Linked DNA regions of Drosophila melanogaster. The gene in region 1 interacts genetically with each later gene. Each region holds a gene or a part of one and is shown on either strand. Other genes may lie near its edges. The genes, in order: Hr4 and Cyp6t3.

Region 1 (5,093 bases):
GGAGCAGGCTTCATCCCGCTTTTTGTTACGGAAACGACGACGGGGATCAGCCATTCGGAAGCCGGTTATTTGGGGTTTATATTTGACTAAATTTAAATCGGTTTGAACACGTTCGTGGGTGTCAACGCTAATACATTGTTTCGCAGCACTGGTATGTACATAACCATCGCAGATGTCGTGGAAATATAGCTAAAAAGCGAAAAATACGAAATTAAGGACAACATTTTTAATTTCAGACGCAACAATCGGCTGGCCCAACAAATAACGGTACACAAGATTATCCACTTTTTTTTATCACAATTGCACTGGACTTATAGCCAAATATTTTTAATCATGAGAAGTGAAAGGCAAGCACATATCTAAATCTAGCTCGAAACCAGATGGATGCTCATCTTGCACACTGTCACCAGTGTTGGTAACCGAGTGCATTGTGAGCGGAACGTTCCGACACCTACTTTGTTTATTTATTGTTATTAATTAGGAAGCATGCCCCTCGTGGTGATTACGGGCCTGCCAGCCAGCGGAAAGAGCACACGTGCCCGCCAGCTACGGGATCATTTCGTGGAGCGCGGCAGGAAGGTGCATCTAATCAGCGAAAACGAGGCAGTGCCCAAGGCGGGTTTTGGAAAGAATTCCCATACAGGTGATTCGCAGAAGGAGAAGGTGGTACGTAGCGATCTTAAGTCGGAAGCCTCGCGTCACCTTAACCAGGAGGATCTGGTCATCTTGGACGCCGGGAACTACATCAAAGGTGAGCTCTCACCAAGGTTCAGCTAAGGTTCGTAAACCACAACCAAAATTTCTTCCAGGCTACCGCTACGAATTGTACTGCATGTCCAAGGTGTCAAGGACCACCCAGTGCACTGTGTTTACCTGCATACCCCAGGAGGAGGCGTGGACCTTTAATAGCCAAAGAACGGCGCCGGATGAACTGCCTGGCGACAGTGAAAGAGTTCAGCCGGTGGACAACTCGGATGTTCCCTACACCAGAGAGACTTTTGATGCTCTGTGCCAGCGCTACGAGGAGCCGCAGAGCAACAACCGTTGGGACAGTCCGCTGGTGGTAGTCTTGCCCAAGGACACGCTCGACATGGAGGCCATCTACAAGGCCTTGTACGAGTCCCAGCCACTGCCACCCAACCAGAGTACTTATAATGTAAGCGTAGAGCTTGGCCAGAGTTGAAGACAAAATATCACAAGTAACTGCTTTGTCCATTCCGCAGGCACCGCTGGGAACAACCAACTACCTGTTCGAACTGGACAAAATCGTGCAGGCGATCATCAAGGAGATCCTCGGCGCCGTCAAGATCAAGGCCTTCGGCCAGCTGCGCATCCCAGGGAGCAGAAATCCCGTGAAGGTCGCCACTTCGATGAATGCCCTCCAGCTGAACCGCCTGCGCCAGAAGTTCATCACGAGCACGTGCCACGCCAGCCAGACGTCACCCACTCCGCTGGAGCAGGTGCCGCACTTGTTCGTGCAGTTCATCAATGCCAACACGATCGGCTGCTAGCACTGTGATTGCGACAAGACAAATGCTAAAATAAAGTTCTTACCTCGGGCAGCAGGATAATGTTTTTGGGCTGATGTTGACACAATTTAATGTGGAAATCAAATAAAATATGTAGCTTAAATACTAATATGAAAATCGTTTTTGATTATTATTATCACTATGGATTAATTAAGTTGACTCTTCTGGGTTCTTGTGGCGTACTTAATTGCAGTGCATTTTCTGCTTATTTATTATTTCGTAAGGAAAACAATACATTTTTGTTTGTTCAAAGTGAGTTCAAAACTACATGAAATCAATAAAAAAAAATTTACGTATTTCCATTTGAATTTAAAAAATATTTTCCTTCGCCTATAAAATCTACTCTACTTACAGCGAAAAAAGTTCAGTGAACGAACTTTTCTCTTGCGCAGCGGGAACGAAGAGAACCCTCTCTTGAGCGCGCTCTTCGGGCGCTCTCTTCCAACGCAGCGCTGCAGCACGAGATTGGGGCAAGTGGAGTGGTGGTGCCAGTCGGTGGTGGATTGTTCAGTGTATCCCACGAGCTAGTCGCGCGCGGAAAGCAAACGCTTCGAAAATCAAACGATATTTCCGTTGTGGGTTCCCAAGAAATAAAATAATAACACAAAACGAAATAACTATTTTTTTACGTTTTTTTTGTTGCCTCTCCAGGATTTTGTTGACCATCGTAGATTGGATATGTGAAACAAATTTTAAGGGCCTCCACTTTCTCTATCTCGCCCTAGCAGCAAGGTGCACTGTGTGTGTGTGCGACAATTTTACAAGTGCAACATGAATAAATGCAAAGAAAATTTTTTTTTTAATTGTTGACAACAAGAATTTGCAAGCATCTTCAAAGATCCAACAGAAAATTGGCTTGTTTTTGTTTTGTGTGTGTGTGTACGTGTGCGTGCGTGCGTGTGTGTGTGCGGCGCAAATATAAAAAAAATGCATAACGACACCTTGGCACTGACGCTATTTTTTTAATTCTATTTTTTATGTGTGTGTTCCGTTGCAGTTGACGTTTAACCCCCACCCACCCAAATAAAGCAAATCTAACTAAAGAGTCCTGCAAAAAAATCAACAGCTGCTTGATCTTGAAGCCTCCATATCTTGAAATCCTGCATCAGCCAACAGCCCCAAAACAAAACAAAACAAAACGAATGCAAATACACTAATGTGAACAACAACTAAATTGCTAGTGAAATGTTTTAAGCCAAATGCTGTGAGTGTGTAACAAAAAAAAAAAAAAAAAAAAAAAAAAAAGAAGAGTGATTCAAAGCAACCGCAAGCAATCAACTTGTAACGGTAGTCGGATACTCGCTTGCCCGCGGAGCATGGATATCGCCCCAGTTCCGCCACCACCATTATCGATATCCGTATCGCTTTCGGCTCCAGGATCAACGGTATTCGCAAACGCTGGCCACTAGAGAAGCGTCAGCCGAATGCCTCAAAGATGACACCGCTGCAACGGGACCAATTGAAGTGAGTACCACTAAGGATTCTCTCTAGCATTTAAGAAGTGCGAAATACATTCGCTTGGATTATCGATAGGACTAGGGAGGTTTCCCACACTAGATCATATTAGATCATGTAGATAGTGCAGACCGTTAGAATTAGAATTCAAGGCTCTGGCCATAAATACGAGTAACATGTACATTTCGCCAAATGGCGCAACACTTTAATCACTGACCAATAATCCGGGTGATGGCATTATAATTGGCCTACGGCTGCGGGGTTCTACAGCCCCATAGAGCCCAGCTGGGCTTAAGTTCAGCAGTTTAGGAGGCGCTTGGGCTTAGTCACCGCGCCTTAAAGTTCACCAAAAGGGGTGGGAGGTGGAGCAGCAGCAGCAGCAGAAGCACATGTTGGCCGGTTCGTTGGCCTGGCCGAGATATCTCGAAATAAAAAAGTTCGAGCTCGAGTTCGCCGCTCTCTGTTTATGAATGAAACGCAACGAGGAAGCGCGCGCAAAACTCAAAGCCAAAGAGAGAGGCAAAGAGAGCTGAGAGAAATGGCCAGAGAAAATGGAAATGGAAATGCGGAACAAAAACAATGAACGTAAACGTCTCTTGCTCTCTCTCTCTCACGCTACCGATGGCGAGTTCATCGACCTTTGCTATTGAAATTTTTGGGAACGCACTCACACACAGATACGAAACACGCACACGAACACAAGCATGTATGCGAGTGCTGCTTATTTACACATTGATAAACAATCGTTGATGCTGAATGTCGATGACTACGATTTTAATGCCGCTAAACCCCAATTATATTAAAGGCTTGCAGATGCCCTTTCTGGCCAAGTTTCCATATTGTATGTGAAATGATGTTCGATTTGCGATAAACCAAACACGCAAAAAACGCGACCGCAAATAAAGGGTTGTTCGCGTATGTTTATAATAGCTACCTTCTTAATTTTCTTGTTACATTTTTGTAAACAAGTATTTCGAAGTATTTGAAATATTTGTAAGCTATCAAAAATTATTTAAAATTATGTTGTGTCTGACTCCTGTTTGTGGGAAGGGCATCGAAAGTGCGGCGACATTTGTGCCACCCATTTATTGGCTGGTTTCTTCTTCCTGATTGCGATGTGTGTGTGCTTGTGTGTGTGTGTGTGTGTGTGTGTGTGAGTAGCGGGTGGGTTGGCAAACGCACGATAACAACGCCTAGAACTTGGGGACTCTCCGCTTGGCACGGGAAGCGAGGGGGTGGCATCCAGAAATGGGGACTGGGGCCATTGGGCATTGTTTTGTTTCTGCTCCCTGCTTCTTCGCATTACGACTGCCGCTTGTTACCAAGTCCCAAATGACTCTACATTGCTATATGTACATGTGTGCCTGGGCGCAGGGGAGTAGGCGGCAGTTGATTAAGGGGATTTTAGATCCCAGGACGAGTCCTCGCAGCTCGGACATTCTCGGGAATAGTAAAGGCAACAAAACCTGGCTAACTTCAAAGGGTTCTTGGTTCGGGGTTCCTGGGCTTTTTGGACTTTTTGGGGTCTCTGCACCACAAAACTTGAATCCCCTTTGCACGCCACTGGAATTCTTGTGCGAGTGCTGTATCTGTGTGTTCGTGCGAGGTCAATGACCAAAAATGTAGTGACAAGGGCGTCAGAGTGATTCCAAAATTTGTGTATATTTCGCCATTACAGCAAAGAAACAAGGAAGAGACCGTAAAAAAGGGGCAATGCTTTATTCTGGTTTTGTGTCTGTTTTCTCGTTGCTCTGTTGATGTTTTTCGTTTCGGGTATTTCTGGAGAAGCAGTTAGAACTTACCCTGTCCAGAGCCACAAACGTTGAAACCTTCAAAATCGGTTTCAATGTCATGTAACCCCCGTTTACATGGCTTACCCGTGCGCGAAAGAGACAGACGGACGGCAGGGGTGGCAAAGGTTTGGGCAACGCAAACGCAATCACACGTACGTTGGGCGCCCAATTATGGGAATATATGTATGTACATATGTATTGGGAAATGCCCATGCAGGCAGGAATCCGGGAAACCGAAAACCAATGGCTTTCAATCCCGCATCCCGAATTCTGACAGCTGTCAAATGCCGAAAGCCATCTTAAATGGCACACTTGC
Region 2 (4,324 bases), on another chromosome or scaffold:
GCGCAAGGAGTCGGACGACGAGGACGAGCCCAACACCAGTCAGGAACTGTCTGCCGACGAGCGCAACAAGCGGGCTCAAACACTCAATCGACTAAAGGAGGTTGTGTGGGAGACACTGGGCAAATCCTGGCCGCGTCACTCCATCGAGACGCAGCACCGCTACCAACTCTTCTTTGCCGAAAACTGTACGAGCATTCTGGCGGAGAGCACTCGCCCAGTGCAAGTCAGTCTGCTGGCAGCACTCACTAAGTACATCGAAAGACTTCATGTCTTTGATGAGTCTGCTCAAGTGCCGGATTTGACTCAGATAAACCAGGAGAAGAAGATCAAGACAGAGGAGACGGCGCCAAAAACCCGAGAGGCCATTGTCGAGAAGATATGCACAGATGTTTTGGCTGCAGTTGCTCTTGCCGCTGGAGTTCCTCATTCCGGTTTGAAAAAGGAGGCGCTCAACATCGTTCTTATGCTGATCAAGCGGCTGAGCGGAAGCGGAAACGGAAACCAGCAGCCACTGAGGTTGATCAAGCAGAGCTTTGAATCGAATTTGGAAAAGTTCCAGCGCGATTCGGCGCCGGAAATCCGGTGTCGCATCAAGGACATCGAAGACAAGCTAAGCAAGTTGAATCCACAGAATTAAGTCATATTAATATAAGCATTTCAAGGATGTGTGTGTGGCCAAAAAATCTGCCTTGGGTAGATTTTATAAAAGGGGGTAAGCGTTAAAAGAAAACATCTAACTTTGGCAAAAATGAATAAGTAACTTGCATGAAGATAATTTTCTATTGTGATTCATTGATCCAGGAGTGTAAGGAAACCTTAAATATACTATCATAAATACTTTCAGTTTCGTTTTAAGTTCAAATTTTAGGGAGCTATTTAGATTATCTATTCTATTTAGATTATAGGAACAAAGGTGATTACATATCACAGCCGATTGTTTTAGGATGCCTATAACTCTACAAACTACTCCTGCAGAATCTTAGGTATATCTCATTCTCAGACTCCAACATGAAGGACTTTGGATTAAAGCGAATCTCCGATACTGTTCGCTCGCAAGTCTCAACCCAATATTGCTTTAAAATGTGCACTATGCCCAGTTTCAATTGGAGTACGCCCAGGCGACTACCAATACAGCCATGTGGACCTGCTCCAAAGGGTATGTAGGTCATCGGGTGGATGTGCCTAGATCGCTCCGGACCGAATCTCTCGGGATCAAAGACGCAGGGCTCCGGCCAAAACTGGAATTTAGATTGACATAAGTAAGTTGGGATAATCATCACCTTTGGTTTTAAATCTAACCCTTTCATCGCGATGGAGGCCGAGTATTGAGATGTATGCTGGCATCCCTGGTGGCACTATGAAATCCACATGCGGTTGCAGTGAGAATCCCTCGGATGCCGAACTGGTGCACTCTCTGTTGACGAAAGCAGCAGCCGGATAGAGACGCAGTGCCTCCAAACACACCATTTTGAGATAGGGCAAAGTCATCAGTGTGTCATAGCTTAGGGTAGCAGTGGAGATGAAGGCTTCTCGTAGCTCACTCCTCAGTCGTTCTTGAATATCCGGAGCCTTGGCCAACTCATAGAGAGTGAATCCCATCAGGGCTGAGGAGGTTTCAAATCCGGCCAGCAGTATGATACCCGCCTGCGAAGCAACAAAGTCCGGATGCTGGGAATAGTGGTTGGATGAGCGGCTCAACTGAAAGTGCTGCAATTGATTGATGAGATCTCCTTTGGTGGGCTCGTGATGATCATCTACCAAGTGCCTCATATAGCGCGCATAGTCTTCGGTAAAAACTTTGGGCTTCAGCACACCCGTCCACTTGGGCAGAAAGAATACACTCATGAAGTCCAAAACCTTGCGGGGATTGGTGTTAAATAGCTCCTTGGTTTTTGTTATCAACTCGGATCGACCACGACGCAATCCGCCGACATTCAGGCTGTAGAAGAGATTCCCCGTCACGTCGGTGGTGTACAACTGGCACATTCTTCCCAACGGGAGAACGCGCTCCAGCCGATCCCCCAGCTTCCTGTTGAGGTACTGCTCCAAGTCGCTGGCCACATCCAACATTTGGCTGTACATGACATCCCGCATACGGCCGCTGGTGAAGAGCTGGGACATGCATTGCCGACTCTCCTTCCAGTGATGGTACTTAGCCAGCGGTAGCGTCAGTGCACCCATGGGATCTCCGGCGTCCGCCGATTCGAACCGGTTGAGAAAGTTGTTGAAATTCTTAATCAACACCTGGCGGATTAGCTCCGGATCCCGAACCATAAGCGCCGGCGTTTGGAATATGAAGAAGCCAACGATCTTCGCCTGACCATTTCGTGGATCTGCGTAGAGCTGCCGAAAGAGATCGCCAAAAGAAATGCGCAGAAATAGAAGTTGTCCCAAATTGCCCATTGGTGACCAAGAGGAGGGTGGCAGGTGCGGAATCCCACGGCTCCTGAAGTAATCGTACTTGTGCCTTAACCAAAAATTCAGAGTCACAATGGTGAGCAACAGCAGCCAGATGAGCAGCATGGTGTCTATAAGATATAAGATAGAATATTATAACTATGAAATATATACCAGCATTAGGTAAAGATAGCTAAGATCCAAAAAGTCGTTCTTTTGAATGAGGAGGAGACCTTGTTCACGACCGTCAAGAAATGCATTTCCATATGCATAAGTTGAACCTGACCCACTTAACATCTCGACAAGCACTTCCATTCACAAATAGATTCATTCATTGCACTCAGGATCATCTTGATGATCTCATAGTAGAGTTTCCGCTTACCCAAAGCTTTAACTCTATGGTGCTGGCAATATTTCAGCCAGTTGGACATTGGGTTTGGTGGCGTTAGCATGGAACTGGTACTGCTGATCCTCGTGGCATCCCTAATAGGGATTGCCTTTCTGGCGCTGCAGCAGCATTACTCCTATTGGCGGCGAATGGGAGTACGCGAAATCAGGCCCAAATGGATAGTGGGCAACCTGATGGGACTGCTCAACATGCGAATGAGTCCCGCGGAGTTCATATCGCAATTGTATAACCATCCCGATGCGGAGAACGAACCCTTCGTGGGCATCCATGTGTTCCACAAGCCGGCGCTGCTTTTGAGAGACCCCGAAATGGTGAGAAATATCCTGGTCAAGGACTTCGCTGGCTTCTCCAACCGGTACTCGAGCTCCGACCCCAAGGGCGACCCTTTGGGATCCCAGAACATATTCTTCCTGAAGAATCCCGCCTGGAAGGAGGTACGTTTGAAGCTATCGCCCTTCTTCACCGGCAATCGACTGAAGCAGATGTTTCCCCTGATCGAGGAGGTGGGCGCCAGCTTGGATGCCCATCTCCGCCAGCAGCCGCTGCACAACGAGCGGATGCGCTGCTTCGACTTGGAGGCCAAGGAGCTGTGTGCTCTCTACACCACGGATGTGATAGCCACGGTAGCGTACGGAGTGAGTGCCAACAGTTTCACGGATCCGAAGTGCGAGTTCCGCCGCCATGGACGTTCTGTGTTCGAGTTCAACCTGCTGCGTGCCGCGGAGTTCACTCTAGTGTTTTTCCTGCCCCACCTGGTCCCGTTCGTTAGATTCAAGGTGGTGCCGGCGGAGGCCACTCGTTTTCTGCGCAAGACCATCAACTATGTGATGTCGGAGCGGGAAAAATCCGGACAGAAGCGCAACGATCTCATCGACATTCTCATTGAGTTCCGTAGGAGCACGCAGCTGGCGAAGGCATCGGGTATCAAGGATCAATTTGTGTTCGAGGGCGACATCCTGGTCGCCCAGGCGGTACTCTTCTTCACCGCCGGCTTTGAGTCCTCCTCCTCGACCATGGCGTTCGCGATGTACGAGTTGGCCAAGGATACGGACGTACAGCAGCGCCTGCGGGAGGAGATCAAGGATGCACTGGTCGAAAGTGGAGGTCAGGTGACGCTGAAGATGATCGAGTCACTGGAGTTCATGCAAATGATTCTGCTGGAGGTGCTGCGCATGTATCCGCCACTGCCGTTTTTGGATCGCGAGTGCACTTCTGGGAGGGATTACTCGCTGGCTCCGTTCCACAAAAAGTTCGTGGTGCCCAAGGGCATGCCCGTTTATATACCCTGCTATGCCCTGCACATGGATCCCCAGGTGGGTTGAGATACATTTTGCATACATTACCCAACGACTACCCTTTTCCAGTACTTTCCTCAACCGCGAAAATTTCTGCCTGAAAGATTCTCGCCCGAGAATCGCAAGCTCCACACGCCCTACACCTACATGCCCTTCGGCCTGGGTCCGCATGGCTGCATCGGAGAACGTTTTGGATATCTCCAGGCGAAGGTGGGTCTGGTTA

The links.
Region 2: of Hr4 (region 1) and Cyp6t3, changing one suppresses a phenotype caused by changing the other (phenotypic suppression), as found in Drosophila melanogaster (one study listed by BioGRID).

Annotation. Positions count from the first base shown.
Region 1 is NC_004354.4:1,939,901-1,944,993, forward strand, and holds the start of Hr4 (hormone receptor 4), read left to right. Parts: upstream 1-2,039; 5' UTR 2,040-2,104; exon of another isoform or gene 2,105-2,526; 5' UTR 2,527-2,964; coding exon 2,965-2,993; intron 2,994-5,093. Other genes in the region: CG3857 (uncharacterized protein), read right to left, coding at 1-54; CG3587 (uncharacterized protein), read left to right, coding at 487-751, 810-1,156, 1,224-1,511. UniProt on the Drosophila melanogaster protein: Coordinates growth and maturation by mediating endocrine responses to the attainment of critical weight during larval development.
Region 2 is NT_033778.4:12,188,886-12,193,209, reverse strand, and holds Cyp6t3 (cytochrome P450 6t3), read right to left. Parts: upstream 2,529-4,324; 5' UTR 2,524-2,528; coding exon 1,300-2,523; intron 1,239-1,299; coding exon 957-1,238; 3' UTR 774-956; downstream 1-773. Other genes in the region: CG8858 (uncharacterized protein), read left to right, coding at 1-637; Cyp6g2 (cytochrome P450 6g2), read left to right, coding at 2,848-4,119, 4,171-4,324. UniProt on the Drosophila melanogaster protein: May be involved in the metabolism of insect hormones and in the breakdown of synthetic insecticides.